Notamacropus eugenii: one gene and its partners. The protein of the gene in region 1 purifies or fractionates together with the protein of each later gene. This does not show direct contact. Links are inferred from orthologs where the notes say so. Each region holds a gene or a part of one and is shown on either strand. Other genes may lie near its edges.

Region 1 (10,477 bases):
ACTTAACATGGTTTGCTCTTCTCTTTGAGGGCAGGGACTACCTTTGTATTCCCTGCACCTAGCACATTGCCAGGCATCAAGGGACTAATAAATACTTGTTGGTTAGCTGATTGCCTGGGCCACATAGTGATGACATGGCCTTTGTGACCAGCAATGTGCCACTTGTATCAATTGTCACTGCTCACACTGTGGTGCTGCTTCTTCCATACTGAAGGCTGCTGCTTCTACTGCTGCTATACTTAAGGTTGTAGAGAGGAAGGAGGAAGATCCCATTAAGAAACCAAAAGCAATCTGCTGAGTGATACCAGGTTTTGCCATGTTCATCTATCTGATTCATTTTGACAACAGAATCCTTCGATGGAATTGTTGTGGCCCAAAGGACTTTAGTTTAGAATCCTGATATCTTAAAAGGTAACACTCAGGGACTCATTGTGCAAAATCCTCACTCCACAGTTGCTTCTGAAAAACTTTTAAATGCATGAGACTACTTTCAAAATAAAGTTAAAAGAATATTAAGACAAGATGCTCTTCTAGTTCAGAAGAATCAGATAAAGAAATCAGTGTAAGGTCATTGAAAACTTAACTCTACCACACAGATGTGTTTTACTACAATTAATTAAGGATTAATTCAAGTCAACTAAATTTCTAACGTGCCTGCTATGTGCAAAGCCCTGTACTAAGTGCTGATCATATAAAGTTGAGAAACAACAAAGTTTCTGCCCACCAAGAGATACAATCTAACAGGAGATGAAATATAGATACAGATACAGTTGTTACAAGGTAGACTGTAAGATGGTCTCTAGATAAAATGCTCTAAAAATCTGAGAAGGGAGTCTTAAAGGAAAAGAAGTAGTTTAATAGCCAGAGAGGTGGAGGGAATATGTTCCCAGGATGTGGGGTATCCATGAGGATACACAGAGACAGAAGAAGTCAGGATAAAGTTATAGAGAACAGTGAATAGAAGAGTTTGAATGGAATGTAGAGTCCCAGAATGGAAATCCTGTGAAGTTAGGAGGGGAAAGTAGGTCAGAACCATACTGAGAAAGGTCGTAATTGCAAGGCTAAGGAGTTTGTATTTTACAGAGAGCCTGGGAAGTTTCTTCTATACAGGTGACTTGTGCAATGGAAAGGTGATTTTGGTTGCTGTAAGAAGGATAGAGTAGAGATAAGAGAGCCTGGAAGCAGGAGAACCGTTTGAGAAGCTATTGCATTGATCCAGCAATGAGGGACTGGTGTAGGCTGATAGCAATGCAAATAGAGGAGGGTAGATACATGTGAGAGTTACAGACAAAGCAGACTAGATAGGACTTGGAGACTAATTCGATATAGAGGATGAGGAGCAGAGAAGAGTCAAAAATGATTGAGGTTTGAGACTGGGGCACGAGAAACAGTGGTGCCATCAACAGAAATAGGGAAGTTGACATGAGGCTTAGATTTTGGAGTCAAGGTTTTAAAATTCAATTTTAGGTGTGTTGAGTTTGAGTGACTATTCAGGTAGAGCCAGCAGGTAGTTGGTTAGAAATGGGAAATTAGAGCTCAGGGAATAAATGTTTGGATATATGAATTTGGGAAGTAATGATTGGAACCACAAGAGTGGATGAGATTGTTAAGGAAAAGAGTGTAGAGAGAAAAAGAAGTCAAGAACACACCTTTGTGGGAAGCCAGGAAGCCACAAGCAGACAGAAGGAAAATGAATCAAAGAAGATAATGGAAAAAGCAGCTAGATGTTGTGGTAGATAGGGTTCTAGACTTAGAGTCAGAAAAACCTGGGTTCAAATCCTGCCTCAGACATTTATTAGCTATGTCTCCCTGGGCAAGTTACTTAACCTCTTTCAGACTCAGTTTCCTGATCAATAAAATGGAGATAATATTACCTACCTCTCAGGGCTGTTATAAGGATAAAATGAAATAACAAATGTAAAGGGCTTTGCAAACCTGAAAGTAGTTAGACAGCTAGAAAGAATATTAGGAGAGTATAACATCACAGAAGTCAATGTAAGATGACAAGGAATTTGGAGTGGATAAGTCAACATGGTTCTCAGAACCACAGAATCTCAGAGTTGGAAGGGAATTCAAAGAGGGGGAGATCCATCAGCCCACTTCCTTCATTTGGTCCTCATGTAACATTAGCTCACACTCCATCACCTTGGTCATGTTCCTCTGGACACCCTCCAGTTTATCAGTGTCTTCACTCAAATGTGACATCTAGAACTGAACACCATTGTTCAGATCTCATTTGACCAATACAGTATCATTATCACTTCCCTAATCCTGAATACTATGCCTCTCTTAATGGACACTAAGATGGCTTTAGTTTTTTTGGCTGTTACATCACTCTATTAATCATTAATTAATTCATAATGAGCAATTCATATTGTTTCCAACAAACTGCTATCTAGGCATGCCTCCCCCATTTTATATTTCTAAAGTTAATTTTTCAAAACCAAACGTAAATCTTCAATTTACCCTTCACACAGCTGTCAAAGCAATAATACTAACACAAAAATCCAACCATGTCATTATCCTGCACCAAATTGCTCTGGTGGCTATCTGTTGCCTCTGGGATCAAATATAAATTCTGATTTGGTATTTAAAGCATTTAACAATCTGGGTTCAACCTACATTTCTAGACTTATTCTATATTATTCCCTTTGAGCAGTCTATGTTCCAGGTAACCTGACTTACTTACTACTAGTCATTTGCCCAGGCTGTTCCCCATCCCTCCCTCCATGTCTAGAATCCACTTCTTCCACCTTAATGGAATGGAGTTTTGGAGCATGTTCACACCACCTAACATGGTATCACCCTTGTGGAAGGCACTAGGGGACTACTTCTGGGAGAATGGAACACTATAGCAAGACTGGACATTTTGTGTTGAACTACTACACGGCTGGGAGTAGCCTTTTCCCATTGGCATATAACCAGAACAGCCAGTCTTTTAAAAACAGCCTGACACAGTACCTGAAGGGTTTTTGGGGTATTCATGTCTGAGGGTGAAGGATTCTTTCACTCATATCATGTAGTAAGTTGTGAGGAGAAGTGGGGAAGGGATGCTTCCTTCCCCCACTCCCATCCACCCCCACTTTAGGCCATATGGTTACAAGAAATGAGCCTACGTATTTGGCATTTTTGTTCAATCTTTTTCATTCTAGTTTTAAGGAGCAGAATCTCGGATTTGACCCAGAAGCATAAGCCATGGGGATTCAGGAGTTTAAAAGTCCAGGCCAGGTGTTGCAGACAGCCTAGCAGAAGCAAGCCCTGAGGAGTAAGGGTCTAGCGATGCTAGCCAACCCAGCTGGGTTTTGGGCTTGAACATGGTAGTGGGAATAATACTATGTAGGAACTGAGTTAAACTGTGAGCCTAATCTCTCCTTCCACAGAGGCCAAAGCAGTATTGGGGGGCGAGAAGGGGAAGGGAATTATGTACTAAGTGCTGGGGGGAAATGCTCTAACTTTGAAGTAAACCCCTTTGTAAAAGCTAACCTGATGTTAAGATAGTTAAGTAGAACTGGGGGTGCTAGCCATTGTATCCCTAAAATGGGAGGAACAAAGCTGGTGAGGGCTTGAGCCAATAGCTGAGACTCCCCACTCTCCCTTGGGGTACTGGAGAACCCTGTGGTGGGAACAATGTAACAGGTCAACTGGTCCCGAGAGAGGGTGGACCCAGTCATAGATGTTGCATTAGAATTAAATCATTATTGTTGTTGAGGCTTTTCAGTTCTGTCCAACTTTTTGTGACCCAATTTGAGGTTTTCTTGTCAGAGATAGTGGAATACTTCGCCATTTCCTTCTCTAGTTCATTTTACAGATGAGTAAACTGAGGCAAAGAGGGTTAAGTGCCTTGTCCAGGGTCACATAGCTAGTAGGAGTCTAAGGCCAGATTTGAACGAAGGTTTTCCTGACTCCAGGCCTGGTGCTCTATCCACTTCACCAACCTAGTTACCCTCAGAATTCTTAGTTTCCTTCCAAACTCCCCAAAGTCCATCTAGGTCTTTTCTAATCTCAATGACTTTGTACAGTATTAAATTTGTATATTTTGCAATTATTTGCTGTTTGTCTTGTTCCCGCTTCACTTCCCCACATACAAATTACTTGAAGACAAGGACTATTTTCTTTGCTGTCTGCCTGCCACATAGTAGGTAATTAACAAATACTGGTTAATTAAGTTGCCCTTAGAGCTAATTTTTTGAGCCTTGGTCAATCCATGCTTAGCACTTGGGAGAAGTAGAGAAGGAAATGCAATGAGGTGACCTAGGACTGGTGATTAGCAGGGTGGGAACAGCAAAAAAAACAAAGAGCAGAAGGATTCTAAAGGCAAAGTTTGGGAAGTTTGATCTGGGTGATCAAAATAGATGAACAGAAAGGATGAAAGCAGGAAGGTCTCCAGTATTTTGGGTGGACACTCTGTGGCTAACTTTTGGGAGGACACAGAGAAGGGTCACCCAGTATCTGCAGGTATGGATGGGATGCCATCTGCCTCATTGGTGGGAATTCTGAAATAGATAGGATCATAAATATGTCTGAATATTTGAGAGTAAGTATACAAAGAGAAACAAAGTAGAAATTTAGCAAAGGGTTGGACTGGACATCTTAAAAATATCACCCAACTCTAAATTCTTTGGGGTTTTTTTCTTTTTAAAGAACAGTTATAGATTTTTTTGGATTTAATTATTTTGTTTTTCCTCAATTACTTGTAAAGAAAAATTTTTAACATTTTTTTCTTTGACATAGGAGCAGCTCTCTGATGTACTTCAATTCTCATTTTTAGACTTACAGGAAATTGCTGCTGGACACATCTACTACTAGCACTATTACTGCAAATAATTAGTATTATTTTTTTTAATTAATGTTTTTTTTTCATTTAACAGGCATTAGTTTTCTCTTCCTCCCACCTCAGCCCACCCAACAGGAAAAAAAAGGGAAAGTAAGAAAGGAAAAAAAGAAAAGAATGAAAGAAGAAAGAAGAAAAACAAGCCCTTGTTACAAATATACAAAGTCAAGCAAGTCCAATTCCTGTACTGACTGACCATGTCCAACAATACAGGTAGCATCACCTCCCCCTCTGTCAGGAGGTGGGTAGCGTGTTTGATCATTGGCCCCCTGGAATCGTGGTTTGGTTTGTCCAGACACTGATCAGAGCTCTCGCATCTTTCGAGGAGTGGCTTTTCTTTATCAAGCTGCTGTTACACACTAACTGTTCTCCTGGCCCTGCTTGGTCAGCTGAGACAGGTCTGCTCGGTTTTCTCGGACCCTGCCTCTGTCACTTCTGATGACATCCCCAGGCCATCATCTTCCTGCTACTCCTTACCTGACCTACATGCCCTATTTTGCCGCTCGCAGTAAATATCTTAGTGCACACGAGCACCTTTTCTCTGACCTCTTTGGGGTCTCTAGCTTGGGGAGGTGGGGGTGCGGTGTGCACAGGTCGGTGACTCGGGAGCATTGTTCCAAACTGCTCTCCGGCACCACTGACCAACTGTGCACTGGGCAGTGGCTGGCTTTTCTCTAGGGTTTTAAAGTTTCAAAGTACTTTACAGAGTGGCATTTGTGACTCACAGGCCGGCTGGGTGAGGAAGCAGCCTGTGCAGTGAAGAAGGTCAGCACTAATTAGGCGCCCACTGTATGTGGGGGGGGGGGGGGAGGAGCTGGAAATAGCCGGGGATGGGAAGGGCAGAGCGCGAGCGCCAGACGGGGCTGGGGCGGTGGAAAGGGAGGCGACCTGCCCCCCTACTCCCCCCGCCGGTTTCAAGGCGGGGGGGGGGAGCGCGGTGAGGGGCGGCGTCAGGGGCTCGTTCCGTGGGGGCCTGACGGGCCCGGGCTGCAAGCTCCGCCTCGTGGGGGGGCATGCCACGGACGTGCGGGGCCTGGCGGCTCGGGGAGCTCTCCTCCTCCCCCGCTGGGCCGCCCTCTCGGACGCGGCAGCCGGGGCTCGGAGGGAGGCTCCTGGGCTGACTCAGCCGGGCGAACGCGGTCCGGACTGACAGCCCCGCTCGGACGCGGGGCCCCGGCCTTCCCTGTCCCGGGGGGACCCGGCAGGCGCCTCGGACCCGGCTCACCGGGGGCGGGGCCGCCGGGGGTAAGTGCGAGCGGCTGCAGGGGGCGCCGAGGAGAGAGAGGGTCCGCCGGAACACAAGCGCGCGGGGACGCGAAGCGGGGCTGGGGACGGTGGAGAGGTCACGGAGCGGGGCGGGGAGAGGAGAGGGGCCGATGTGGCAGGGCGTGCACAGGGCAGGACTGGGACGGCCCGGGCTGGGGGGGGTGGGGGGGAGACGGGCGCGCGCGCGGCGGCGGGGGCCGCAGGGAGCGCGCGGGGCGTCAGACCGAGCGGGGAGGGGGAGCGCGCGGGGCGTCGGAGGGGGAGGGGAGCGGCGCGCGCTCGCGGGGTCCCGGGGCGGAGGGGCCGCGGAGGGGGCGGAAGGCCGGGCGGGAGGAGGGCCGGATTGACTCACTGCCGGCGCTGTTTCCGAGGGGCCGGAGTCGGCCGGGTCACGGCGGAGCGCAGGTCAGGGGCCGGGGCCGGGGCCGGGACCGGGGGCGGGGCCGCGCCCTGGGAATGAATTCCGCCGCTGGGTGGACGAGGAGGAGGGGGTGGGGCCGGCTGGGAGGATGTCTCGGAAAAAGCGGGCTGCCCTCGGAGGACCCGCGTGGACCCGCAGCCCTTGGCCCCTGCCCCTCCCACGCCTCGGGGCCCCCCCCGCGAGTCATTACGTAGCCATAATAGAGTAACCGACCTTCCTGGGGCGCCCCGCCGGGTTCATCTGAACCAACGACCCTGCGAAGTAGGCACCCTGAGGCACTGTGATCCCCATTTACAGATGAGGAAACTGAGGCCGAGAGAGGGTGAGTGTCTCGCCGTGCCCCGCCCCCGCCGGGCGATTCTCCCAGTTTCTTTAGAAGAAGCTGGAGGGGAAGGGCATGGGGGAGGGCCCCCTCGAACTTGGGGAGAGGTGGGGGATGAATGATGGAGGAAACAGGCTGGAGCCGCGGCCGATGGACGCTTCTGAGAGTGGCCACAGGCTCCGCTGCCCACGAGGCATCCACGGAGCCCCGAGAATTCACTGGAAGGGAAGTTTGGAGATGAAACACGCCGTTTGTTTTGGTAGGGGAGCCAGAGAAGAGAAGGGAGGCAGCGCGATCACTGACACCCTAGGAACCCGTTCTGATCTTTAGGAACTTTATATAGATATATACATATATATGTATATATGTATATGTATGTATATATATAATACACACATATGTTCCCGTTTTCCACCGGAGAAACTGAAGCTTGGAGAAAAGGAACGTCGTCCAAGACAATCGAAGTCAGAGACAGAGGCTGCCAAGGATAGAAACCAGGGTGACTGAGTCCAAAGCCAGGGCAGTGTCTGCCAGACCCGATCACTTGAATTTCCAAGGACAGTCTGTTTAATGGTGCTCTACATTACAGTGTCATTCATAGTTAACCCTGATTTTCATTAGCAAAAACAGTCTTAAGGGGAAGGAACTCTTTCTTTAAAGTGTACACTTTATAATATTGATCCCATTATATGCCATTCAAATTCTGGCTGAAAAATAGCTCCCTTAATAGAGCTGAGTAGTCACTTTAGATGTGAGTGGGTCATGAGGTAAAAATCACCTACCTTGTAAAAAAAAACCAGTTTTCTTCCTCTCCTACTTGTACATTACATCCTGTTTCCTGTATGTACCAGTAAAAAAAAAACCATGTTATTTTATACTTAGATATTATTTTACACTATAAAATCAGCATCCTGTATTTATGGTCAATTTTATTCATTAAAACAATTTGAACTCTAGTATTTCTTTTTAAGGGCTGAACTAAAATGATTCCAAGAATAGGAATACATTGGTAAAAATTGGTGATTACTTTGGGATTGTAATGTCTGCATTTGGAATTTAGGAGTTCTCTAATTTGCTCTCTGTATAGCTGAATTATAGAGGATGTTAATGAGGAGATTTGGCTGTATTCATGATATTATTTTACCTATAGAATGATGAGAAGAAGGGAATATAGATGTCATCTAGTCCAACCTCCTCATTTTATAGTTAAGAAAACAGGCCTGGAAAAGTCATAGTGTCTTCTGAGGCTAATGTGCGTAACCACATAGGAACCTTGTAAGATTTTTCCTAGTTAATTTAAGAAAATTTTTTCATAATGACCTGAACCAAGGAAGTAGGCAAATCATATCACCTCTCTGACCGTCACTCAGTTTCCCTATCTCTGAATTAAACTAAAGTATTTTAAGTCCCTTGCTGTTGTGATTACAAAAATATAATTGAACTTTTTACTACAACAGAGTAGATATGAAAATGCTTTGTTTTGCTTTGTGTATGATATATAAGTGTGGTGTCAAACTCATGTAGAAACAAATTGTGCATAAGGATCCTTGCAGCAGCATATTGATCTAGAAAAGTACATATTAACATCAAGGTTCTATTGTATTTTTATTCATTTTGTTAAATGTTTCCCATTTACATTTTAATCTGGTTGGGTCTCAGCAAGCAGTATTTGACAACTCTGATATACATAATAGTGTCTGACTGGAATGATATACAGTGTACTGCAACAAAAGATGTCTTCTATGATGTACTTGAAGAACTTTGACTCAGAGAAGTAATCAGACTGTCTAAAGAGCATTCGTTAATTTTTTGTAGTAGATGCAGATCTATTTGCTATATATAGTCTTGTAAACTCCATTATCCACTTGCCATATGTGTACCTGTTCTCATTTTCATTTCTTCTTTTTATAGAAGCAAAACCACAATCCAACTCTCACTCAGAGGAAACAGAACGACAGTTCCCTCATTTGCTTTCATATATCTCAAGCTTGAGGAGCAAGGTGTTGTCTCTAACCCTTGTAGGTGACTCAAGTGCTCTGCTATGTATGTTTTCTGTCATATTTCCTATCAGATCCAACTCTTGCCTTGATTTGGAAAGTTTTTGCAAGGAAATGATGAAGTTTCTGCTTCGATCTAGTAGACCCCACCCTTATCGTTAAGAATACAAAGAATTAGACTCCTTCCATCTTTAGTATCTGTACAATTCCACAGTAACAAATAGTTCTTTCATTTAGCAAATATTTATTAGGAGCCTAATGCAATATGGAAGACACTGTGGGAGACAGAAAGTTGAACAATAGAGAATTCCTGCCTTCAAGGAATTTACACACAAAGTAGATAAAAATATTTGTGCTAATATCTTACTGTAGTCTTTAAAATATATCACAAAGGCAGCACCATTAGTGTCCTCCAGAGATTTGGCATTATCTCACTGGTTCTGAAATTACTACTTTGATATTTCATTGATCTATGATTTCCTTCTCACTATAGATCACATCTCCAGCGTTTATTAAATTGCTTCATTAGTTGCTTTGAGGGAGAACATCATCTGGTAGCCAGCCTTCTGGTGATGAGCCTATCCAAATTTAGCTCTTTATGTCCAGACTAGCAATGATGTGAAACCAGGTCAGGCTAGGAGGGGGAATAAGAGGTGGGGATGACCAACCTGGTAACACCATAAAAGGAGGGTATCTCAGATGGAGACTACATGAGACAGTTGTCATTCCCTGATGCTCTGTGCTCAATCATTCATCAAGCATTTAAACACCTACTACATGCTTAATGTTTGAGGCCCCGGGGATATAAGTTAAAGAAGACATCTGGTCCCTGCTCTCTAGGAGTTCTAGCAGGCCCAGGTGAGGAAGTAGAGAGCATTTCAGGTATAGGGAAGGCCTTTTGTCCGGGGAGCAGTAGGCAGGCAGTAGGCCTCTTGGGCTGCAGCGTGGAATGTATGAAGGGGACTAGTGATGGGATCATCCTGGAGAGATAGGCTCGAGCCAGGTTGTAGAGGGTTTTCAGTGCCAAACAGAAGTTTGTATTGCTTCCAAAGTAGCATTTTCCTGATTTCTTCCATTCTGATCTCTTACAAGCTTTGGAACATTGTTCTGGCCTTCGTTTCACAATCCCTGACTAGTGTTTGGGATTAGATACCCAGGTGAACTGTTTGACTTGACCTAGGCACAGCATTCTTTTTATCCTTTTAAATCACGCCTTAGATTATACCCTTCCCACCAGCCTAGATGAGTTCTTTCCCTCTCTGCTCCTTAATTGCTCCTAATCATAGGTTCCCTTTTGGCACATTCACTCAGGTGGTGGAGAATCTAAGAATCTTGCCTCTTGTGCAGACATTCCACCCTCCAACCCCAGATAAAGGGCTTCATGATAGGACTTAGTGCTGTAGCTCCAGACTACTGTACTCTGGTAGTGCAGCCACTACCAGATCAAGTTCAAGTAGAACTACTTAACTAAACCCAGTAGTTTCACTAGTTGTTTTTGTGTTTTTAAAGATCTCTCTTGTTTTTATACCACTTGTATTTCCACATAGAGTCTTCTCACACCTTTCTCCAGTAAGCCATCTATAAGAACAAAGGATTAAATAAAGAAGGGGGTTGGAAGCAGTTCAGCCAAACCAACCAAC
Region 2 (10,832 bases), about 400 Mb from region 1:
CACACTGAACATCCAGTTCCACTAAAAACGCCCTTTTCCATACAAGCTCTTTTAGCCATCCCTTCCATGCCTTGAACTTGTTCACTCAAGTTTTTAACCCAAGCATGGAACTTCATACTTATTCCTACGAAATTTCTGTAGTTCATTTTTCAACCTTGTTGCAATCTCTTTGGCTCCTGATTCTGTTATCTAACAATTTAGCCATCCCTCCCACTTTTGTGTCATCTTAAAACTTGCTAAGCATGACATCTCTGTCTTCAGCCTCACCATTGATAAAAACATTGAACACAAAGGTCAATCCCAGAGCTCTGAGTCACCCTCCTAGAGCCCTCCCTCCAGGCTGACATTAATAATTACTATTCTTTGGGTCAAGTAGCTCACTCAGGTCTGTATCCACCTAACCATAACTATCACCCAGTCCACAGCTTTCCATCTGGTCTATAAGAATAACTTATAGGGGGAACTGCCAAATGTCTTGCTGAAAATCCAGGTATATTTATATCTACAGTATTCTATTCATCTACCTGTCTAGCAGCTTTGTCAAAAGGAAGTACAGTTGGTCTGATTCAGATCACTATAGGAAAAGGCAGAATGTGACAACTACCACAAGAGATGGGCAAAATGCCATAGAAGGAATTCAGAGAAGGGTGAGATCACATTTAGGGAGGGGAGAATAAAGGAAAAGCTTCATGATATAGGTACCATTTGAATCTTTATCACAAGATGAGGGAACAAGTAGTTCCATGTGGTAAATGCAGGGTGTTAGATCTCACAATGGCATCTGTACAGCCTCTTCCTTTTGAATTCAAGCTGGGGGGCAAGGGGTTCATTGCCTATACTTTGAACTTTTCCCAATCCTATGGCGCCATATTGAAAGAGCTAAAAATAGCTAGCGATTACACAGCACTAATGTTTGCTAAGTGTATTACATATACTATTTTGTTTGATCTTCACAACAACCCAGTGAGAAAGGTTCTATTATTATTTCCATTTTACAGATGAGAAGACTGAGGCTGAGAGGTTAAGTGCCTTGCTCAGGGTCACCCAGCTAATTATCCGAATCAGGATTTGAACTAAGGTCTTCAAAATTTCGAGGCCAGCACTCCATCCATTGTGCTAACTAGTTGCCTAAGGTGACTGGGCCTTGGTGACTCTTAGGCATGAATGTTTGGTATTTAGATTTCTCCCTTTTTTTGAATCAATCTGTCATTTTAAAGAGATGGATGTGAAAAAGCCACTAGCGATTACTAGTATTAGGATTAATTTAATCAAATTATATTCGTCTAAGATACTAAAAGGATGCAGATATAGTCTTGTTTATTCTCACAAACTGCATATGTGGCAGAGTCAATCAATCATTAAATATTTATTAAGTGCTTACTATGTGCCAGGTACTGTGGTAAATGCTGGCAGAAAAGCAAAAAACTGTCTCTGCTCTTAAGAAGCTGAGAGTGAAGTCAGGATGACTTGGCCAAGGATCCACAATTAGCAACTAAAGGAGGGCTTGAGTTCATGCTTCCTATTTCCCTGGGTAGTTCTTCACTCACACTACACTAATACTTTCTTTTGAGTTAACTTTCCAGGGCATACATAAACCTTTGTACAGGACAAAATCTGACAGCTTCTCCTCCAAGGTTTCTTTCTCCCAATCTTATCTGTGATCTTTAAGGTTTCAGAGAAGGGTGTAATGGTAAACACAATAAAAAAACTTAATTCTACTCAATTTTAACTCACTCCTTAGGGAAGAGGGTATTTACTCTGCTCCAGAGACAAGAAAGTAGAGAGGTGGAGAATCTGATTTGGGGCCACATAGTAAATAAGGTAGTGGAGATGAGTTCCTAGTATCTTCTTCTTAGCCAGATGCTCAGATTCCTAGGTCATCCTGATTAGAAATGGATGGTCTTTGAAGGGGGGCACACACCAACTAAACAAACAGGGGGGCAGGCAGGCCGCCTGCTCAGAGGAAGTTGGGAACAAAGGCTATTAGATCTTCATGCAAAACCCAGTGTGCAAAGGGCACTAATGTTAGACATTTTTCACCATGACATTTTGAAAGCACAGCCTGGCCCAGAACAATGGCTTCCCTCAGGGAGCCACGATCAGAATGCCCTATGTCTCACTCACCAATAGTTGGCACATCCCCTGAGCTTGGTGAACTTGACCCTGGGCTAATGCCTCCCATGGTGGCTGTACGTCACTCTGCCCATTTTTCCCACCCCTGGAATTCCAGACTTTGGTGAATGAAGAGATTGATTCCAGGAGCAGGAAAACAGTTCCATGCATGAATCAGATAGACCAAACCCTGGCTCCCTGTGCCAGCTATTGAGCCAGGAACTGAATGTGATTGTATGCCTGGTCACTAGAGCTTTTCCCCTTTCAAGGGGAGAGGGTCAAGGTCCACGCAAGAGATGACGTGGGCTAAGTCTAAAAGGAAAAGAGACAAATCTCAGCTTCAGGAGACAAAGCTGCTCTCTTTATCACTCTTATAAGGCAAAGTACAAGAGGTGGCTGGAAAATATGGCAGTACAGGCCTATGACAGCATTCTTTTCAGTTCCTACGGTAGCACTTACTCATGGACTATCCTCTTCTCCTAAAAGACCTCAGAAACCTGGGGCTACAGCCTCACTATTACAGAATATTCTCAGTAAGAAAGATAAAAACAACTTCCTAGAGTACTTCCCCAGAGAACCTCTCCCTCACTAATCATCTCCCAGGTTGAGAAGATGAGTTCTGTTTGATTTGTAAATTATACTCTGAGCACTAAAAGGCAACCGCCCTTTCTGGTTTTAACCTTGAGAAATCAGGAAATTCATGATGTGCTAAGCAGGGACGAATTTAGTCATAGGAGGGAGAGGACCAGGCTACACGCTTAAGAAACTGATTCCCCTGAGGAAGAATATCTCCTCTCTGACTGGCAGGCAGAAGAGACTCTGTGATTTGGTTCTAATAGGACTGGAACATTAACTTTTCTAGGTAAAGGCCTACAATTGGCCTCCAGCAGGAAAGGACATTAGAAAAAGGAGAATTCCTGGAGGGGCTTATTAGGTTATTGCTTGGGGCTCTACCTAATCTGCCAGGAACTGTCAGTTCAATATTTGCACATAAATCTTAACACAGCAAGGAGAAAGGGAATCAGAAGGGGTTTGGATTTCATACTACACATCTGTTCCTGATGTTTACTGGCATATCAGCTGCTTCTAGGCAGAGTTCAGTCACAAATGCCTAGGTAGAGAAATAAGCTACAAATAGCCCTTAAAAGAATGTCCATTCAAAGCTCTCTATGGCTAATGGACCTATCTAAAAAGCTTTACGGACAATTCTCCCAGTCTTATACTGTAGGTACAAAAGGCAAGGTTCGGCAAAGCTCACAACTAGACAGGGAAGTTCCTGAAAGTCTCAATAAAATATAAGAGGGTAAGGAGGAGTAAAGTGTTTTCTCTTCCAAGAACAAAAATTAGTCCGGTATACAAAGAACAACCTGCTTTGCCCAAATGGAGTCCAAAAGTCCATCAATCATCAAACATTTAATAAGTGTGTACTACGTATAAAAGATTATCAAGTGAAGCAGCAAATAAGGGTTAGAGATACTGCATAATAGGAACCTTGACGGTTATTATTCAGACCTCTGACACTTATGCGTGTGTATACATACATATATCTGTATGCTACCATGTCTTTGAGATGAAGATTTAGATACCACTAGCATAAGAGTGCTATAAATTTAAGATCACTGCTGTCGAGCTCTAGGGATGTGAGGTTTTCTTTAAAGCCCTTTCCTAAATGATTAGTCTGTTTAGGAAGGGTGAATTTTGGAGGCATGGTTACGTGAAAAAGAGACTAGGACCTGGAGTCAAGAAATAACGTCCTCAGTCCTGACGCTTACCGGCAGTGTGTCTTTGGACAGGTTACTTCCCTGGGGCCTCAGTTTCCTCATTTGAAAAATGGGGATATCAGCACGGACCAGTGCACCTCCCCGGCCTGTCTCCGTACAGCAGGCAGGGTGGTGCAAGGGAGAGGGCACTGGCTCTGCCTAAGTAACTAATAAATACTCGGGTGACCTCGGGACAAGTCACTTCATCTCCCTTGGCCTCAGCTTCCTCCGTAAAATGACAGGGTTAGCTTGGGTGGCTTCGAGGTCCCTCCTGGCTCTAGAGCGATGACCTCATGACGGACTTGGGGCCCGAGAGGAGACTAGATCCAGGTCGGCCCCGCCCCCCAGGGCTCCCTTCAAGTGTCCCAGAAGGACGGCATGGGAAGGGCCTTCCGAGGTCATCTTATCCCTCTCCAAGGTCCGTGGCTCGTGGCCATCCAGCCCCCGGGGCCGGGGCGGTTCCGGGAATCAGATCCGTTCCCGGCACTTCTCGTGGAAAGTTGGCAGAAGCGCCGAAGGCCTTGCTCCGGGACAGGCTCAGCCCACCCGCGGCTGGCGGGCAGGACAAGCTCAGAGGGGCACCCTGGAAAGCGGGGCGGGGAATTAAGGGGGTGAGGGGGTCTCGGGGGCTCAGAGGCGGAGTCCGGCGTGCGGCACGAGAGGGAGCCTAAGGAACCCCAGGGCAGGATCCGCCGGGTTTCACTCACCAGCTCATGGCGACGGCTCCGGTGTCCGAGCCCCGCGTTGCGGCCCCGGCCCAGGCCTCAGCCCGCTTGACCACGGCCACTTCCGGATTCAGGCCGTCTCCAGGAAGTGACGAATGAGACACTCCCGGAAGAGAGGCGGTGCGCGCGGCGCGGTGAGGGGGAGGGGTCAGTACCTGGACACGTAAGGGGTGGAGCCTAGAGTGGTTACCTAGTAACCCTTTCGCGGCGGAATCTGCGGACTACCTCGCTCCGCGAACCCTCCCTGTCCTAGTGCAGACTCCCGGCTGTGCCGGTCCTGGGTGCTCACACCTCTTCCTTGCCTCAATTTCCTCCAGCTGCAGAAATGAATACGACAGTGCAGTAAAGCACAACACGCATTTATTGAGCGCCTGCTGTGTGCGGTGCATAAAAGAGAAGGGGGAGGAGGAAGAGGAAAGGCAGCCCTGGCTTCGGAGGCTGAGAATGAGCCTGAGTTGGAGAAGCGGGGAGGACAGCGAGTGGTCGCAGGCTGGACCTAGGGTCAGGAAGACCTAAAGTTCAAATTCTGCGTAGCTGCGTGACCTTGGACAAGTCACTAGACCCCTCATCTGTAAAATGAAGATTAATGTAGCTCCTACTTCACGAGGTCTTGGTGAGGATCGGTGACGTACCACGTGTAAAGCGCTTTGACAGAGCTTTAGGTAAAACTAGTCCCGATTATTGCCGTCCCGTCCTTCACGCCGGGGTTCAGGGGTCACTTTCCACGTGGTTCACTGCTGAAGTCCAGTGGGGTGCCCTTGAGAGCGGGGACTCGGAGGGCTGGGAGAGTGTTAGGTTGTTGCAGAAGTTGGAGCCAGAAAGCGGTGGATTACACCCAATTCTGCCCTGCTCCGTGGCTCTGTTTATGCATCCAGTAAACACTTATTAAATGCTTGCTCAGTCCCAGGCACTGAAAACACGTACAGGAAATAGCCCCTGTCTGAAAAAGCTTGCACCCCCTGGCGGGGGCCTGGAGGACGCAGAGAAGGAAATAGACGAATAGAAACAAAGTATCCCTGGATCTGGGGCGGGAGAGCCCTGGTGCCCCGCGGGTGGGCGGGCGGTGGGGAAGGAGATCGGGCTGAGCCTCAAGCGCTGCGCAGAACCCGAAAGCCTGAGCGCTCGTTTTGCCACGAGGGGATCGCTGGTAACTTTGAAGACAGCGCTTTCAGGTGGATGACGAGGTCTCCTGCAGGAAATGGTACTTCAGTCCAATCCACCAACAAGAACTTAGGAGAGCCCACTGTGTGCCAAGCAGTGTACTGGGGAGAAAGAGACAAACGTGATGTAGCCCTGACTCAAGGAGCTTCTGTTCTATCAGGGGAAACCTGTAGTCATATAAGTCTACGGAAAATATCCACAAAGTAAATTACGGGGTGCATGACAGCTGGGAGGAGCAGGAAAGGCCTTTTGTGGGAGGTAGCATAGGAGCTGTACTTTGTGACAACCAAAGGGTTTTAAGACGAGGGGATGAGGAGGGAGAGCATTCCAGGCATGCAGAAGAGCCTGTGCCTGAGCGGGAATGGAATGTTACATGTGAGCAACAGCCAGGAGGTTGAAATAGGGTGATGGGAGGTGGGCATAGAGTTGGAAGAGGGAGTTCAAATACAGCCTCGGACACTTGTGACCCTGGGCAAGTCACTTAGCAGCTGTGTACCTCAGTTTCTTCATCTGTAAAATGGGGGTGATAATAGCACTCACCTCTTGTGGTGGTTGTATCAAGTGAAATAATAATATAAAGTTATTTACTTTACAATGCATGGCACATATGAAGTGCTGTATAAATGATAATAGTAGTAATACTACTAATAGTTATTGCCTCCCAGGGTTGCTGTGAGGACCAAATGATATAATAATTGTAAAGAACTTAGCAATAAATAAATATTATTTATTAGGGGGGCCAAATTTCAGAGATGTTTATGGAGGTAGCAAGATTTAACAACTCAATGGACGTGTGGTTAGTGAGAGTGAGGAGCCAGGAATGATTCAGATAAGGAACCTGGGTGCCTAGAAAGATGGAGGCACCTTTTATAGAAATAGAGATGTTTGGGAAAAGGATGGGTCTTGGGGAAAATATAGTTCTGTTTTGGATAATTTGAGATACCTATGGGACATCTGTGGGAAATTTCTCATAGGCAGGGGATTCAGAACTGGAGTGCAAGAAGAGGGGCCAGAGCAAGATACCTAGATCTGAGAACCAACTGCATAGAGATGATAATTGAATCAATGAAAGTTAAGTCACCAAGAGAGAAAATGTAGATGGAGAAGAGAAGCCTGACTCAGCAAAAGAGACTGGAAAGGAGTAACCAGGCAGGTAGAAGAACCAAGAGAAAGCAGGGTCACAAAAACCCAAAAAAGGAGAGAGTATCCAGGAGGAAAGGTTGGTCGGAAGTGTTGAATGCTGTAGGGAAGTCAAGAAGGATAAGGATTAAGAAGATATTCCCACAGTCAGCAATTAAGGGAACACTGATAACTCTGAAGAGAACAGTTTCAGCTGAGGGGTGAACTTAGAAGCCAGGTGTGAGAGGCTGAAGAAGCAGATGCAATGAGTGTACATAGCTTTTCCTAGGAGTTTGTCTCTGAAAGGGAGGAGAGATATTTTAAGGCTTTAAGAAGGTTTGGATATTGCAAAGATGTTTGGAAGCAGGTGGGAAGGAACTGATGGGGAGACACTAAAGGTTAGGGAGAGTGGAGCCTCCAAGGATGGCATAGATTTTCAGAGGCAGGGGTGAGGAAGGAGTGCATTTCATCGGTGTGGGACAGCTCAGCAAGAGTTTGGAGAATGCCATCTCTTCCTCACTCCACCTATCCAGTTATTTGCCAAATCTTTTTATTTCTACTTCCAAGGCATGGCTTGCATCTGACCCCTTCTCTTCACTCATACAACTACTACTTTGGTTGAGCCCCTCATCACCTCTTGTCTAGGTCATTGCAATAGCCTCCTAATTGGTCTCCTTGCCTCAAGACTCTCATCACTTCAGGGCTTCCTACACACAGCTGCCAAAGTAATTTTCCTTAAGCACAGATCTGGCCATGTGACTCTCCTACTCAATCTACTCTACTGGCTTCGTACTATCTTTAGGATGAACATAAATTCCTCTGTTTAGCTTTTAAAGCCCTGCACAACCTGACCCCCATCCCATCTTTCTAGCATCATTGGACATCAGTTTGCCCCCTTTCCTTCCAGCTCTTTGATCCAACCAAAGAGGTCTTCTCCCTGTTTCTCTACATTTCTGACTCCCTACCTTTGCACTGGTCTTTCCTCAGACCTGGAATGCATTGCCTCAGCATCATAAAGACCTGCTCTTTCTCTAAGATGAAGCTTAGGCACCCCTTCCTGCATGAAACCTTACTGAGCCTCCATCTGCTAATGTCTTCCAAATGATCTTGTGTTTTAACTTTTGTGTACAAAAATACACATTTTTGTATTTATATTCATGCTATATACTATATATAGCAAGTATATTTAACTATATATACATATGTGTGTGTATATCTGTGTATACATATATGGGGGAGAGAGAGAGAGAGAGTTAAAATACTTGCTTCGTCCTTTGGAATGCAAGCCCCTTGAAGGTAGGGATTGTTTCATTCTTTGTACTTGTGTCCCTAGCAAAAGGCTAGGTATATAGCAGGACCCTAATAAGTACCTGTTCTTTGATATTTCCATCTTATTACATGATTGGCCCACCTCCTCTTCTGACCACATATTTCCTATATGTGTGTGTACTAAATTTATATTATATATGTATGTTACTATTACTTGCCCATAGACCATCCTTAGAAAATACTTTGAAAGCTGCTTGTTACCTCCATACATCTTTCCTATGTTCTATGGGACACCTGTACCTTAGATTTTGTGAAGATTGTGGTTTTCCAAGATTCAAAACTAAAAACATAATTGAGATGATATTTATGTTAACAAGATGTGCAGGGGATCTGCTTGATGTCATTGAAAGTATTACCCAGTTTCCCAAGCTTATTCCAGCCTGCTCTCTTCCCCCATTCCACCAGGGGTCCAACTCATTGTCCATTTTTAGCACTTGTCCCAGATGTAGGTGCTAATTCAATAGACTGTTCATCCTAATACATGCCATAGTCTAATGCAATTGGCATTTTTTCATCCATTTAGTTTTTCCTATATGGATTTAATCTCTTTTGTATAATTTTGGATCTCATGAGGAAACTTGATGGAGTCAGCATGACCTTTGTTCTGACTTGAGTAGATGGTCTTACTACACACAGACAGCTAGCTGATTGCTATGACTTCAACGGTAACCAGTGGTTACTGCTATTACCCAGCAGTATCCTATATTTGTTGGAAGGGTCAGCTCCATTGGGTGTACCTTGGCAAGGGCAAGAAGGGATGAACTTTATTTGTTGATTATACCTATATAAACTTGTACCTGCCATTATTATAATAACAGGTCACATTTACATGACAATTCAGAGTTATGAAAGTTTACACATCTGGACTTATCTGATATCTTCATGATATACAGAACTGGCAGAAAATCCAACTCTGTCATATAACAAATGATCCTTGCAATAACCTAGTAAAATAAGTAGTACAAATACATCTCCATTTAACAGATGAAGAAAATGGGGCCCAGGCAGAGGGGGACAGACCCAGAGTCACACAATGAGTTTGTGCTAGAGTTGAGGCTAGAACCCCCTTGAGGATGGATAAAACATCATGCTCAGCACCAGGGGGATGTAGATATGATTAGAGTCTGATCTTTGCCTTCAGTTTCCCTGGGCTGCATCATCTTTTATTTTCTACCTTGGAAAGATCCCTCCATTCATGAATCCCCAAAGCAAGAGATGGTGCTTAGGTACAAGTACAAGATGTATTGTTATCTATGGTGAAAGCTTCCTTGGGGGTTTAGACCAGGTAGGGAAAGGGACACTGTTCAGAATAGTCTGGGGAGTATCTGTCTGATTCCATTCCTGGGCATCAGACTGATGGGAACTGTGTTTGACAGGACCATCTTGAGGTGAATCCAGTCATCAATCAATCATGTTCTTGTGTACTTCTGTCTTTCATGAGTTCAATGAAGTAAAATCCTAGCATCTGTGAAAGAGAAAAAAAGGGAAGGGTCATCACAAAAAACCACATGTAATCTGGAACTGTGTCACACAGAGAGATCCTCTGGCTATACCTTAGTGAGGGAGGAAAAATGTGCTGGAAAAATGTTACTCAGGGAAAGGCACCTCAGGTCTTTTGGACCATCTAAGCTATTACTATCTACCACCCCAGACATTGCCCAGCTATTTGGTACCCATAGCATTCTTGTTTGTTTGTTTACTGCTTTTATTTAGTAGCCATGATGTTCTAGATCAATTTCTCCCATTTTACCACACCTGCAGATTTTCTTTATTTTTCTCATGTACAATCAGTATAAAATCCATTGCTTGCAAGAGACCCTAGAAATCATCTAGTCATAATGTCAGATTGTCATAGGTTTAGGGCTAGAAAGTACGTTGAAGAAAATTCCTCATTTTACAGATGAGGAAACTGAGACCCAAAGATTTGCCCAGTATTACATAGTTCCTCTGATTATACATCTGGAGATTTTCTCACTATACAACACTGCTTCACAATCAAAGCCTCATTCAAAATAGCATAAATACCAGTCCCCACCACAACAACAACCAAAAACCAAGGTAGCATCTTTTTTGAAGTAGAGATTGTCACAGAAAATCTGGGTCATGTGGTAGTTGTCCTAGGAGTCCCCCTAAAAACATATCCTGTAGGACCTTGGGGTAATAGGAGGAGCACAAAAGAAGTTGGTTGATGTCTTCAGGGTTAGGGGAAAGTTGGAGGGAGGGGCCAATGTAATTACAATCAGGGAGCCAGAGCATTGGATTGGGGGGCAACATCTGTTACCAGTAGACCCAATAACGATACCAATCTCTCTTCTCATTCCAAAGTTGGCAGCCAGCAGTAGGTAAGAAAACAGGGCTACTCAGAATCTTGGGGCTGATATTTGTTCCAGGTTAGCTCACCATAATGTGGCTATATAACTAATTATTCTTGGGGAAGAAAGAGATTGAAAGCTAGCATCAGCCAACCTGCCTCTTCAAGGCTCAGCAGGGATGGGACTCTGTGGTTCCTTTGTGGCTTTCCTTCCTTGTCTTTATGTTCCCTTGAACTATGTTTTCTGTGCTAGGCTGTTCATTGAGAGGCCTGACGTTAACATAGTGCCTAGCACATAGTAGGTGCTTAATTTTT
Region 3 (10,376 bases), on another chromosome or scaffold:
CCCTAGGCACTCAAATTAGCTCTAAACCTTTGATCCTAAATTAATCTTATTTTTTCTTACAAGCATTTCATTACTGGAAAAAAATCTTTAGGTACATTTTCTTATACCAGACTAGCAGAAACAAGATAAACTTCAATTTTTAAGCAAAGAGTCAGCTCCATTTCCAGCTAAATTTTTATAAAAGGGTTAAAGGGACAAAGCAAAGGTGATCGAGGCAGCAGTATACATCGTGAGAACCCTAAGGTTACAGGTACACATGAGGAACACAGAGCAGCCAGTGGGATTTTCTTAAAGTATTAGGTCTGACCATGCCACTCCCCTATTCAAACTGGATCTAATAGAAACTCTTGTTTGACATTTAAAGTGCTCACAATTTGGCCCCAGTGTCCTTTTTATTATTTATTTATTCAAAAAAGCTACGGTCAAGGTGGATTTTCTTGTAATTCCTTGTATTTTGTTTCCTGATAATGCAATCACTCCTCCTCTCTGTCTCTGTGAATCCCTCTTTTCCTTCAAAATTCAGTCTAAGCACCAAATTTCAACAGGAAATTTCAACAGTTGGAAGCACTTTCTGACCCCCTCAGCTACTAAAGCCACCCCCAAATCACTGGACATCTGTAGCTATCAGTCCAGGGGTTGTATTTTGTTTCTTTGAATCTACAGGGCCTACCAAGAAGTAGGTGCTTACTAAATGCTTGATAAGTTGCCATTCTGCAAGATTATGTGGAACCCCAGCCCCCACACATACACAAATAACTAGGAAGAAAGAAGTGAGGAGTGGTCAGTCTGGAAGAGGTCAATTGAGCAGAAGCTTTTCATTAAAAGAAAAATTACTTTATTTAATAATAATTATAATAAAAAATAATTGTGCTTGGTAGAGTTTATGGTCGCAAAATCAATTCAATTTCAATTGATCAAATGGTTAGTATCCCTGTACTGTGCTGGTTACTGATTTTGAGAACTGGCCTTTGCCTTCAAGTAGGGTGTGTATGTGTATGTGAGGGAACTGACACATACAGAGAGCTGTGTTAGATCTAGAGAAGATGTCAGATACTGCAACGAGAGAACCGACAAGTTTAGTGAATTACTTAAAGTAACCTAGCTCTTTAGTAGCAGAGTTAAGAGGAAACCTAGGCCTCCATATTCAGTGTCTCACAGACAAAACACAAGGATTTGAACAGATAAGCTTTCATCCCAATCTGGGGATAAACAAATAATACATGCTGAGTGCATTAGAAAGGTACAAACAAAATCATTACTGAGACTCAAGAGGTGTGGGGGGCATCAGGAAAGGATTCCTGGAATGACATCTGACCTGGATGGGTGAGAATTCCAAGTGGGGGAAGGCAGGAAGGGAATTCTGCATGTAGGGAAAGGCATATGAGTTGGATAAGACTGAGTCTGGTTTGGCTGTACTGGGGAAAGGGCACTGGCATCTGGGGACCTGACTTTAAATCTCCCAATCCCTGACCTTGATTTGGCATTCAGGAGCTTCAGTCTCCTGATCTATACATGGGAACTAGACTAGATGATCTCCAAGGTTCCTTCCAGTTAGCTCCTATGATAGATGACAAGGAGAGTAAGTAGTACTTAGGGTTAAAGTTGAAAAGATCAACAAAATATACTGAAGACCTTGAATGTCTCACTAAGGAATGTGAACCCCGCCCAGTAGACCAATGGAGGTTATTGGGCAGAGGTTATGACATATGTATAATGAAGAGAAGTTTGACATAGCATGTAAATAATTGATTGGAAAACAAAGACTGGATAGCGGTGAAGACCTATTGGAGGCTATAATAAAAGTCAGAACTAGGCAGGTAGTATTGGAAGAAATATGAGTAGTTAGGTGACACAGCAGATATAAAGTGTTGGGCCTGAAGTCAGGAAGACTCATCTTGAAGACAACTCTGGGCAAGTCACTTAATCCTGTTTGCCTCAGTTTCCTCATCTAAAATAAAGTGGGGAAGGAAATGGCAAAGCGCTTCAGCACATTTGCCAAGAAAACCCCAAATGGGGTCAACAAGAGTCAGACCAGACAGAACAACAACTGAATGAAAGCTTGTATCTGGGTGATGACTTTGGAAATAAATGATACTGATGAGGTAGTGTTTAAAGGACTGGGGATATGAAGATGACCAAACCTGAGAGCTTAGCCATTTTATTTTAATAATAAAGAAATAAAGTGAGAACCCTGGTGTAATTAATGCATTCACCCCAACTAAGGCAAGGAGCCCTCAAGGGAGATGGGACTGAGTGATAGGAAGTTAACAGAGACTGGGTTGGGAAGGAGAGGAAAAGAACCTCTTTTATCAGAACTACATACTGCCCTGCCCCTCCCATCTAGTGAAGGAATTTGAAAATCACCCAAGTCAGTCCATTCACAGTCACCCTCCAGTCACCGCCTCAAAAACACACCACCAGTTAAATGTGACAATGTCACTATGGCAGGACTAAAACAAATTCTGGAAGAAAAACTACCACCTGCCTGCAACTGTGCTTGACTGTACAGTTTTTTTTCTAAGACGGAAGGGCTTGGTTAATTCTTTAAAAGTTCTCAATATTATTTGTCTGCAGTGTAGGGTACTTGTGAATTTTTAAAATTTCAACTGTTTTCAAACCTGAGTCAGTTTTATTGTTGAGCTTTCCAGGGAAGAAAGGCAGGACAGCTACATGAATGCTTTTAATGGTCAAGGAACAGCACAATATAATGAAAAGTTTCCAGGATTTGAGACTGGAGATAGTTGGGTTCAGATCCTACTTTGTTTATGGCCTAGCCACTTTTGGGCCTATTTCCTCTTCTTTAAAATAAATTAATATAGTGTTTGTAGTATATACTTCAAAGGCAGCTAGGTAGTTCGGTGGATAAAGTTCTGGGCCTGAAGGCAGAAAGACCAGAGCTCAAATCCAGTCTTGTGTGACCCTGGGCAAATTACTGTAACCTCTGCCTCAAACCACTGGAGAAGGAAATGACAAACCATTCCAGCATCTTTGCCAAGAAAACTCCATGGACAGCACTGGTGTGATATGGTCACCAAAAGTGGGACACTACTGAACAACAGTACATATCCCACAGGCTGCTTTGAGGATCAAATGAAATGACAGATAAAGCAACTACTGTTATTACTAATACAAAGGACTCCCAAAATTTTACCAAATGTCAAACTGTAGGCCAGAAAAGGCTTATAATCACAAAAACAAACAGAAAACCCTAACACTTTGAGTAAATTAGTTACTTTCAGCAGGGACTGTTTGAAAGTGTTCTGCAAAGATCTAAAGGTACAATATCAACTATCTAACTTGGGTTTCTAGACTGCTGGCACACGTTTCTCTGTAAACCTAGACATGCAAAGAGTGGGTCTCCAGGAAGGTGTTGGCCACACTAAGAGCCTATGCCGCTAAATAGGGATGAAGGAGAGGACACACATGACCACAGTCAGGTTGCCCTCCCAGAATAAGGAAGTTAAACATGACTCAAGAGCCCTTTTCGAAGTAAAGAAGACACTTTACTTCGAACTTCTCTTTGACAAGCGAAAGGAAGGATTGGGGGGGGAGGGGAGTAGCTGCTCCACTAGCTACCACTGAACTACATTGAAAGTCCACTTTGAAACTTGGTCTCGACCCACTAAGCTTATCATCTCCTAAAGCTATCCTGCAAAGTAGGGGAGAACCAACCAGTCATCTCTGATGGATAAAGGGGGTTGAGATGGTTCTGAACCTGGAGTTGTCAGGTCTACAAGGCACAACGTCCCCTTATGAATCCCTGGATCCAGTCTCCCAGCGCTGTCCTTCCCTCGACAGCTCAAATGCCCAGAGCCGAGATAACCGGGGCTGCAGTTAACTCTAATCAAGCCTGGCAGTCTGCAAAGAATAATAAACCCTAGAGCATCGGCCAAACCTAACGCGATAATGGCAACAAAGGCACCAGGCTGGTGTTCCCCCGCCCCTCCCCGCCAGGCACTTCAATTGGTTGGGAGACCCCCCTCCCAGCACAAACACACCCTGATAATGCCAGGGAAGCCAACAGTGACCTTGGCACGTCACGTCACCGCCCTGGGCCTCGGTTTCCTCCTCTGTAAAATGAAAGGATTGATGACCTAGAGGTCCTCCAGCTGTACGACTACGGAGACCCGCTCCTTCCCCGCTCCAGACCGGCATTAAACGGCTCGGGGCCAGGAGGGCTGTCAGACGTCCGCCGGGCACCTGCCGGGCGGGCACACGGAGTCCTCCCCAGGGGGAGAAGGGCGACGCTCGCCGCTGTGGATCTCCCCCCGGGTCAGAGGTCGGAGACCGCGTGAGGTCCGAGTGACCCCCGGATGACCCCCCCGGGGGAGGGGGCCTAGGCCGGGGCCCATCCCCGGACCCCCTCTACGCCGTCCACGCGCACCCGCCAGCGGCGCTCCTCCACCCGCGGCTCTGCCCGAGGCTTACGCAAGCGGCGCAGCCAGGCGCGTCCAGGGCCCATTCCTCAAGCCGCTTGCGCCCGGGCGGAGCGAGCAGGGCCCGCGGGGAGGGGGAGCGCCCATCTTCCGCCGCCGGCGCAGCCTGCCCAAGACTCACCGGCCGACGAAGTTCTCGAGCACCGAGCTCTTGCCGGCGCTCTGGCCGCCCACCACGGCGATCTGCGGCAGGTCCAGGTGGCAGCTCTGCCCGATGGAGCTGAACGCGTCCTGCAGCTTGTTGACCAGCGGGATCAGCTCCTCCATCCCCCGGTTCCCCATGGTGGCGGCGGCGGCGACTCCCCCCTCGCGGCCCGCGAGACCTCCCCAGCCTCCCAACGACCCTGCCCCGCGCGCCGGCGGTTGCTCCCCCGGGACTCAGCCCAACTCCCGACTCCAAACTTCGACTCACAGTCGCCGCCTCATCCGGTTCTCAGGCGACACCCGACCCAAGCGACCTCCCGCCCCTTACGCAACCGGGGCTGGCCCTCCCAGCCGAGGCTTCGCCCCAAACCCTTCAAACCACTGCCTACTGGCCCCGACTCCTGTCACTCTCGATCAAAAGCCAATGGAATAGAGGTACGGGCTTACGGATGATGGTTATGGACGAAAATGTCCTAAGCCCCTTTTCCTTTCTCGAGAATTCATTGGATAAAGGAACTGTCACTCTTCCCGAGACCCAATAGGCCGTGGAACCTGGTTGTCAACGCCGGGGGCGGCGTTTCCGGAAATTGCATGCTAGTCCCGCCTATTTTAAGACATCTTCGCATTCTCATTGGTGAGACTACCTGTCTGTCGGATTAGCAAACCAGTGATGTTAGCGGACTCCACCCACCAAATCAAATGTGATTGGGTAATACGTCACAGTAGCCCGATTCCTTCAGTTATTCCATTGGCCAGAAAAGCTGTCATACTATCTGTTAACTAGAGCAAGAAACGGGGCGGTGCTTTCTGGCTAAATTTTGTCTGTGATTGAGAAATGCATCTGTCGATCAATTTAGCGTTAGCTCTTATTTGTTAACGCTCAGACTCCTCGAAACAACGATCACTTCTAGATTTAGAAGAGCTCTCTGAGAAAATCAGCGTCCCCTGCTGGAGGGAATCAAGATTTCCTCCCAATGCTGCTTAATTAGTAATTATGACAAAAGAAATCTTCCGATTAGAACGGATGAAGATAAAGCTATACGGTTCAACTCCATACCCCAAGGATCCCTGGTTTTTGGGAGGTGGTCATTTTTCACCCTGCTGCACTGCTTTGGACGTCGTGGCCCCAGCAACCTTATCGTCTTGCAAGATCAGTTAAGCGTTGGTCCTCACCCCTCTGCCTCTGGGACCCCTCTGAATGGAAGGTGGGTGGAGAGCTCCTCCCAAAACCTCCATAGAGGGTTCCCAGGCCAGATATCTCTTAATTTCCAACCAAGCAGCTGTCTTTTGGATTTCTTCACAACTCCTCCCCTTTTCATTGTCCACCCTCCCTTAGATTATAAGCTCCTTGAGGGCAGGTCTTTTTCGTAATTGTATCCCCTGCGGTTTGCCTGCATATGTAATATTTATCAACTGAATGGCTATCCAGTCTTTGGCTAACAGCAGCAGTGAAAAGGAACCCATCGATTCCCAGGACAATCAGGCTGTGCGTGCTTAATGCTACATTCTAGAATCCTATCTATGGATGCCTTTTACCTAAGAATCTCCGGATTTATGGCTTCTAACGACCATGTTCCTCACGTTCCAGCCTCCTTTTCTAAGGCGGCAGGCAGCTTGTCACTGCGGAAAACTACAACTCCCAGCACAGCGCGCCTCCGTGACGTCACCGAGCTATGTAAAACAGGCTGTCCTAGCCGACTTCCCCATTTGACCCAGGATGGGATTCTCAGGAAGGGCGGAGTCGGAGAATAAATCAGGGCCACGTCATTTTCAGAATTCAGACAACGATGTTCCAGGCATTTTAAGTGTATTAATTTGCCGACTCCAGTTCTGGTGCCTCAAAAAAAAAAAAAAAAAGCGGGCCCTTCTCTGACCGCCGGGAAGCCCGTTGCCATGGCTCCGAGACGCCTTCCGCCTGCTCCGCTTGCCACGTGACCAGGTAGTAATATGGCGGCTTCCGGGGAGCCTCCGTCCACGAGGTGTCCAGAATCGACTGCCGCAGTAGCTGCTTCTGCTGCGGGCCCAGGGACCCGGGCCCCGGCAGCCCTGGCCCTGCGGGTGGTGGCCGCGTGCGGCCGCAGCAAGGCGCGGGCGTGCGAGCTGCACCTGCCGCACGGCACCGTGGCCACCCCGGTCTTTATGCCGGTGGGGACGCAAGGGACCATGAAGGGAGTCACTGCAGCGCAGCTGGATAGCCTGGGCTGCCGCATCTGTCTGGGCAACACGTACCACCTGGGCATGAGGCCGGTGAGTGCGCTGCTGGTGGAGGCGCTGACCTCTGGCCCGCAGTGGGGAAGGGCGCTGGGCCGCTGCGCCGGGACCCCCCCGGAGGCGGCAGCGAGCTGGGGGAGATGCTGACCGCTGGCCCTCGAGTGGGGAAGGCCCGCATTCAAGATCGGGTGCAGATGTGGGCAAGTCCCCTCACTTTTGCATGCCACGGGTTCCTCTTTACCGAAGGGTAAAATGTGGATGACAGTATCATGGGGAAGCACTTTGCAGATCTTAAGGCGCTATGTAATGAATGTTTTAGCAATGTTCAGTCGTGTCGACTCTTCCCCACCTCCTCTGGGATCTTCTTGGCAGAGATGCTGCAATAGTTTGCTGTTTTTTTCTCTAGTTCCTTTTACAGATGAGGAAACTGAGGCAAACATGGTTAAGTGACTTGCCCAGGGTCACGCAGCTAGTGTCAGAAGCAGAATTTGAACTCAAGAAGACGAGTTTCCTTGATTCCGGGGCAGGCATTCTTTCTACTTAACCCCCAGCTGAATACTAGGCAGTAGCTGTGTGGGGCAGTGGATAGTATCTGGCCTGGAGTCAGAAAGAAATAAGTTTAAATCCAGCCTCAGACACTTACTAGCTGTGTAACCCTGAAGGATCATTTAGCCCTTTTTGTCTCAGTTTCCTCATCTGTAAAATGAGTTAGAAAAGGAAATGGCAAACCACTCCAGTATCTCTGCCATGAAAGCTCCAAATAGTATTGGAAAGAGACAGATACCACTGAACAACAACAAATTCTTATTAGTGGAGTCAAAAAAGTCAGGGCACCTGGGTTTTAATCTGAAGCCTTTGGTACCTTTCCCTGCATTGAGCCTTAGTTTCCCTGGTGGTTAAACATGGGGGTTAGACTGTATTATTTTTAAATTGTCTTAATCTCTAATTTTAAATCTTCCTTTTAAATCCTCTCATCTCTAAGGCCTGTGAGGGATCAAGGGCTCCCTACTTTTGGACCCAAAGATGGGAATGGCTGAGGTGGGCAACCTCCAGATCAGGCTCACCCAGGGGTGGGGAACCTTCAGTTGCAAGGCCACATGTGCCCCTGTAGGCCCTTTGACTGAATCCAAACCTCACAGAACAAATCCCCTTAATAAAAGCATTTGTTCTATAAATCTTGGACTCAGTCCAAAGGCCACACCCAAGGACCTAGAAGGCCACACATGGCCTCAAGGTTGCAGATTCCCCACTCCCGTGCTTTTTCTGTAACAGTATAGGAACCTCTGTCCTGGTCTCTCACTTGTAGTGACTGAATCTTCTCTCCCAGGGTCCAGAGCTCATACAGAAGGCCGGTGGGCTGCATGGCTTTATGAACTGGAACCAAAACCTGCTCACGGTGGGTCTGGAACCCTTGGTGGTAGGGAGGTGGGACACTGGGAAAAGCAGTGTGTTTTAATGGAAAGGGCCCCAAACTTAGAGAGGAAGCCTGAATGGGCTCCTGACTCCCTGTTTGAGCCTCTTAAAGTTTCACTTTATAATATAAAAACAGGAAAAAATTATCTTTGAATTATCTGCTTCCCTGGGTTGTCTTGGAGAAGCATTTTGTAAACTTTAAAGCGCTCTAGAAATAGGAATTGCTGTCATTGTTCCAGGGGCTGAGAACAGTGAGGTGGAAAGAACCCCTGGATTGAGGATTAGATGGCCTTCAACAGGGCACACACTTTCTGTTGCTCAGTGTCCTGTGTCCCTTCACCCCCCAACCAGTAAAATGAGGGGTTTGGCTTTGATCATCTCCCAGTTTCTAGATCTGTCAACTTATTTTCTCAATGGGACAGTGGCAGATCCTTATTGAGGACCTGAGGTCAATAGGGAATGTCATCCACAGGACAGTGGTGGCTTCCAAATGGTGTCCCTGCTGGCCCTGTCTGAGGTGACCGAGGAAGGAGTGCGATTCCGTTCCCCATATGATGGAGCCGAGATCCTGCTGAGCCCAGAGAAGTCTGTGGAGATTCAGAATGCACTGGGTGAGCCCTGGATGGTGAAGAGGAGCTAGAGACTAGAGCTTCTGGCCTTTCTTCCCAGGAAGCTGACTTGGGATGGGAGTAGGGGGACTGGGGAGCAGAAGGTAGTTTGTAGGGGGAAGAATTTGAAAGTAGATACCCTAGTTCAAATCTCAGCTCTGACTGTGACTGTGGTTGTCATTTCTCCTCTCTGGTTAGCTGATCTGTAAAGTGGAGAATACAGTTCTTTCATTATTTACTTAATGGGCCCTTCCAAAGTGAAGAGCTTTGTAAGTCTTCAAGCTAGGTGGCAGTGTATAGAGTACTGGGCCTGGAATCAGCAAGAATTGAGTACAAATCCCAGCTCAGACACTAGCTGTGTGACCCTGGGTAAGTCACTTACCCTCGGTTTGCCTCAGTTGTATAATGGAGGTAATATAATAGCACCTACCTTGAAGGGTTGTTATGAGGAACAGATGGGATGATATGTGCCTGGCACATAGTGGAGCTGTATCAAATCTTATTCCACCCCTGCCCATGTAAATGTATTTATTTGTAAGACACTCAAAAATTTTTATTAATCACAGGGCTAAACTCTAGGCACATAAGGTCAAAAAAAAAAAAAGAGTACAATTTCTGCCTTCCAGGAGCTTACTGAGAGGTATGATATGTAGATACATATGATATAAGGTAGGGTGGGAAAATATTGACACAGTATATGAGAAGTTGAGAAGGATAAAATCACTTTCAGGGAAGAGCAGAGACTTGAGAAGGCATCAGAAAGCTGGCTTATTTGTTTTCCTCCTTTCTGGCTGATTTCTGGGTTGTTTTTTTTCTAGATCTTACCGTGTTTTAAGAAGAGGGTTGTCCTGATTGCATCCATCCCCAACCATCCTCCCAACAGTAGAGATTCTCTGACTTTCCCTCTCCCTTCCCCTTCTTTCCAGGCTCAGATATTATGATGCAGCTGGATGATGTGGTCAGCAGCACTCTGACGGGTTCTCGAGTGGAGGAAGCCATGCACAGGTCAGCGGTTTGCAAATCTTCATGGACTATAGAAATGTGAATTCTCATCATCTAAGCTGTGGTTCTCTCTCTCCCCCCTCCTCCTTCTAGCTCCTTGACCTCATCACAGCCTTTGATCCCACAGACCACCCTCTTCTCTCAGGATTTTCCTGACCCTGTTCTCTCCTGATTCTCCTCTCCCCCACTAACTGCTCCTTCTCAGTTACCATTTACCAAGGTGGCATCTGAGATGACAGAAGGGGACATATTATGTGAGAATTGAAAGAAGATTTAGCAACAGATTGGATGGGTGGGGTGAGGGAGAATAAAGGAAGGCACCGAGCTTGCCAGCTGAGGGAATTGGAGAGATGCCCCCCTTGTTCAGACCTCATCTAGCTGGTCTTCCTGCCTCAGGTTTTCCCCTTCTGCGGTTCCATGCTCTCTACGTTTTCCGAGGCAGTTTCCCAAAGGGTAGTTCTGACCCTCCTCTCTCTCTCTCTTAACTCTGTAAACTCCTCTTTCTGGCATTTAAAGGTCTTCATGAGCTGGTCTCTACTTTCCTTTCTTATTCTTCCACTTG

What was found.
Region 2: the proteins of DNMBP (region 1) and BIN3 purify together in Homo sapiens (co-immunoprecipitation; 5 studies listed by BioGRID and IntAct, counting the BioPlex papers as one, with this or other methods). This does not show direct contact. The link is inferred for Notamacropus eugenii from reciprocal best matches to the Homo sapiens genes DNMBP and BIN3.
Region 3: the proteins of DNMBP (region 1) and DNM2 purify together in Homo sapiens (co-immunoprecipitation; 3 studies listed by BioGRID and IntAct, with this or other methods). This does not show direct contact. The link is inferred for Notamacropus eugenii from reciprocal best matches to the Homo sapiens genes DNMBP and DNM2.

Annotation. Positions count from the first base shown.
Region 1 is NC_092872.1:216,898,924-216,909,400, reverse strand, and holds the start of DNMBP (dynamin-binding protein), read left to right. Parts: upstream 1-5,961; 5' UTR 5,962-6,076; intron 6,077-6,440; exon of another isoform or gene 6,441-6,502; intron 6,503-6,557; exon of another isoform or gene 6,558-6,840; intron 6,841-8,866; exon of another isoform or gene 8,867-10,477. UniProt on the Homo sapiens protein: Plays a critical role as a guanine nucleotide exchange factor (GEF) for CDC42 in several intracellular processes associated with the actin and microtubule cytoskeleton.
Region 2 is NC_092872.1:611,922,943-611,933,774, reverse strand, and holds the start of BIN3 (bridging integrator 3), read right to left. Parts: upstream 4,780-10,832; 5' UTR 4,588-4,779; coding exon 4,580-4,587; exon of another isoform or gene 3,885-4,579; intron 1-3,884. UniProt on the Homo sapiens protein: Involved in cytokinesis and septation where it has a role in the localization of F-actin.
Region 3 is NC_092875.1:79,228,633-79,239,008, forward strand, and holds the start of DNM2 (dynamin-2), read right to left. Parts: upstream 4,879-10,376; 5' UTR 4,719-4,878; coding exon 4,558-4,718; intron 4,276-4,557; exon of another isoform or gene 4,029-4,275; intron 1-4,028. Other genes in the region: QTRT1 (queuine tRNA-ribosyltransferase catalytic subunit 1), read left to right, coding at 6,528-6,827, 8,119-8,187, 8,677-8,815, 9,739-9,817. UniProt on the Homo sapiens protein: Catalyzes the hydrolysis of GTP and utilizes this energy to mediate vesicle scission at plasma membrane during endocytosis and filament remodeling at many actin structures during organization of the actin cytoskeleton.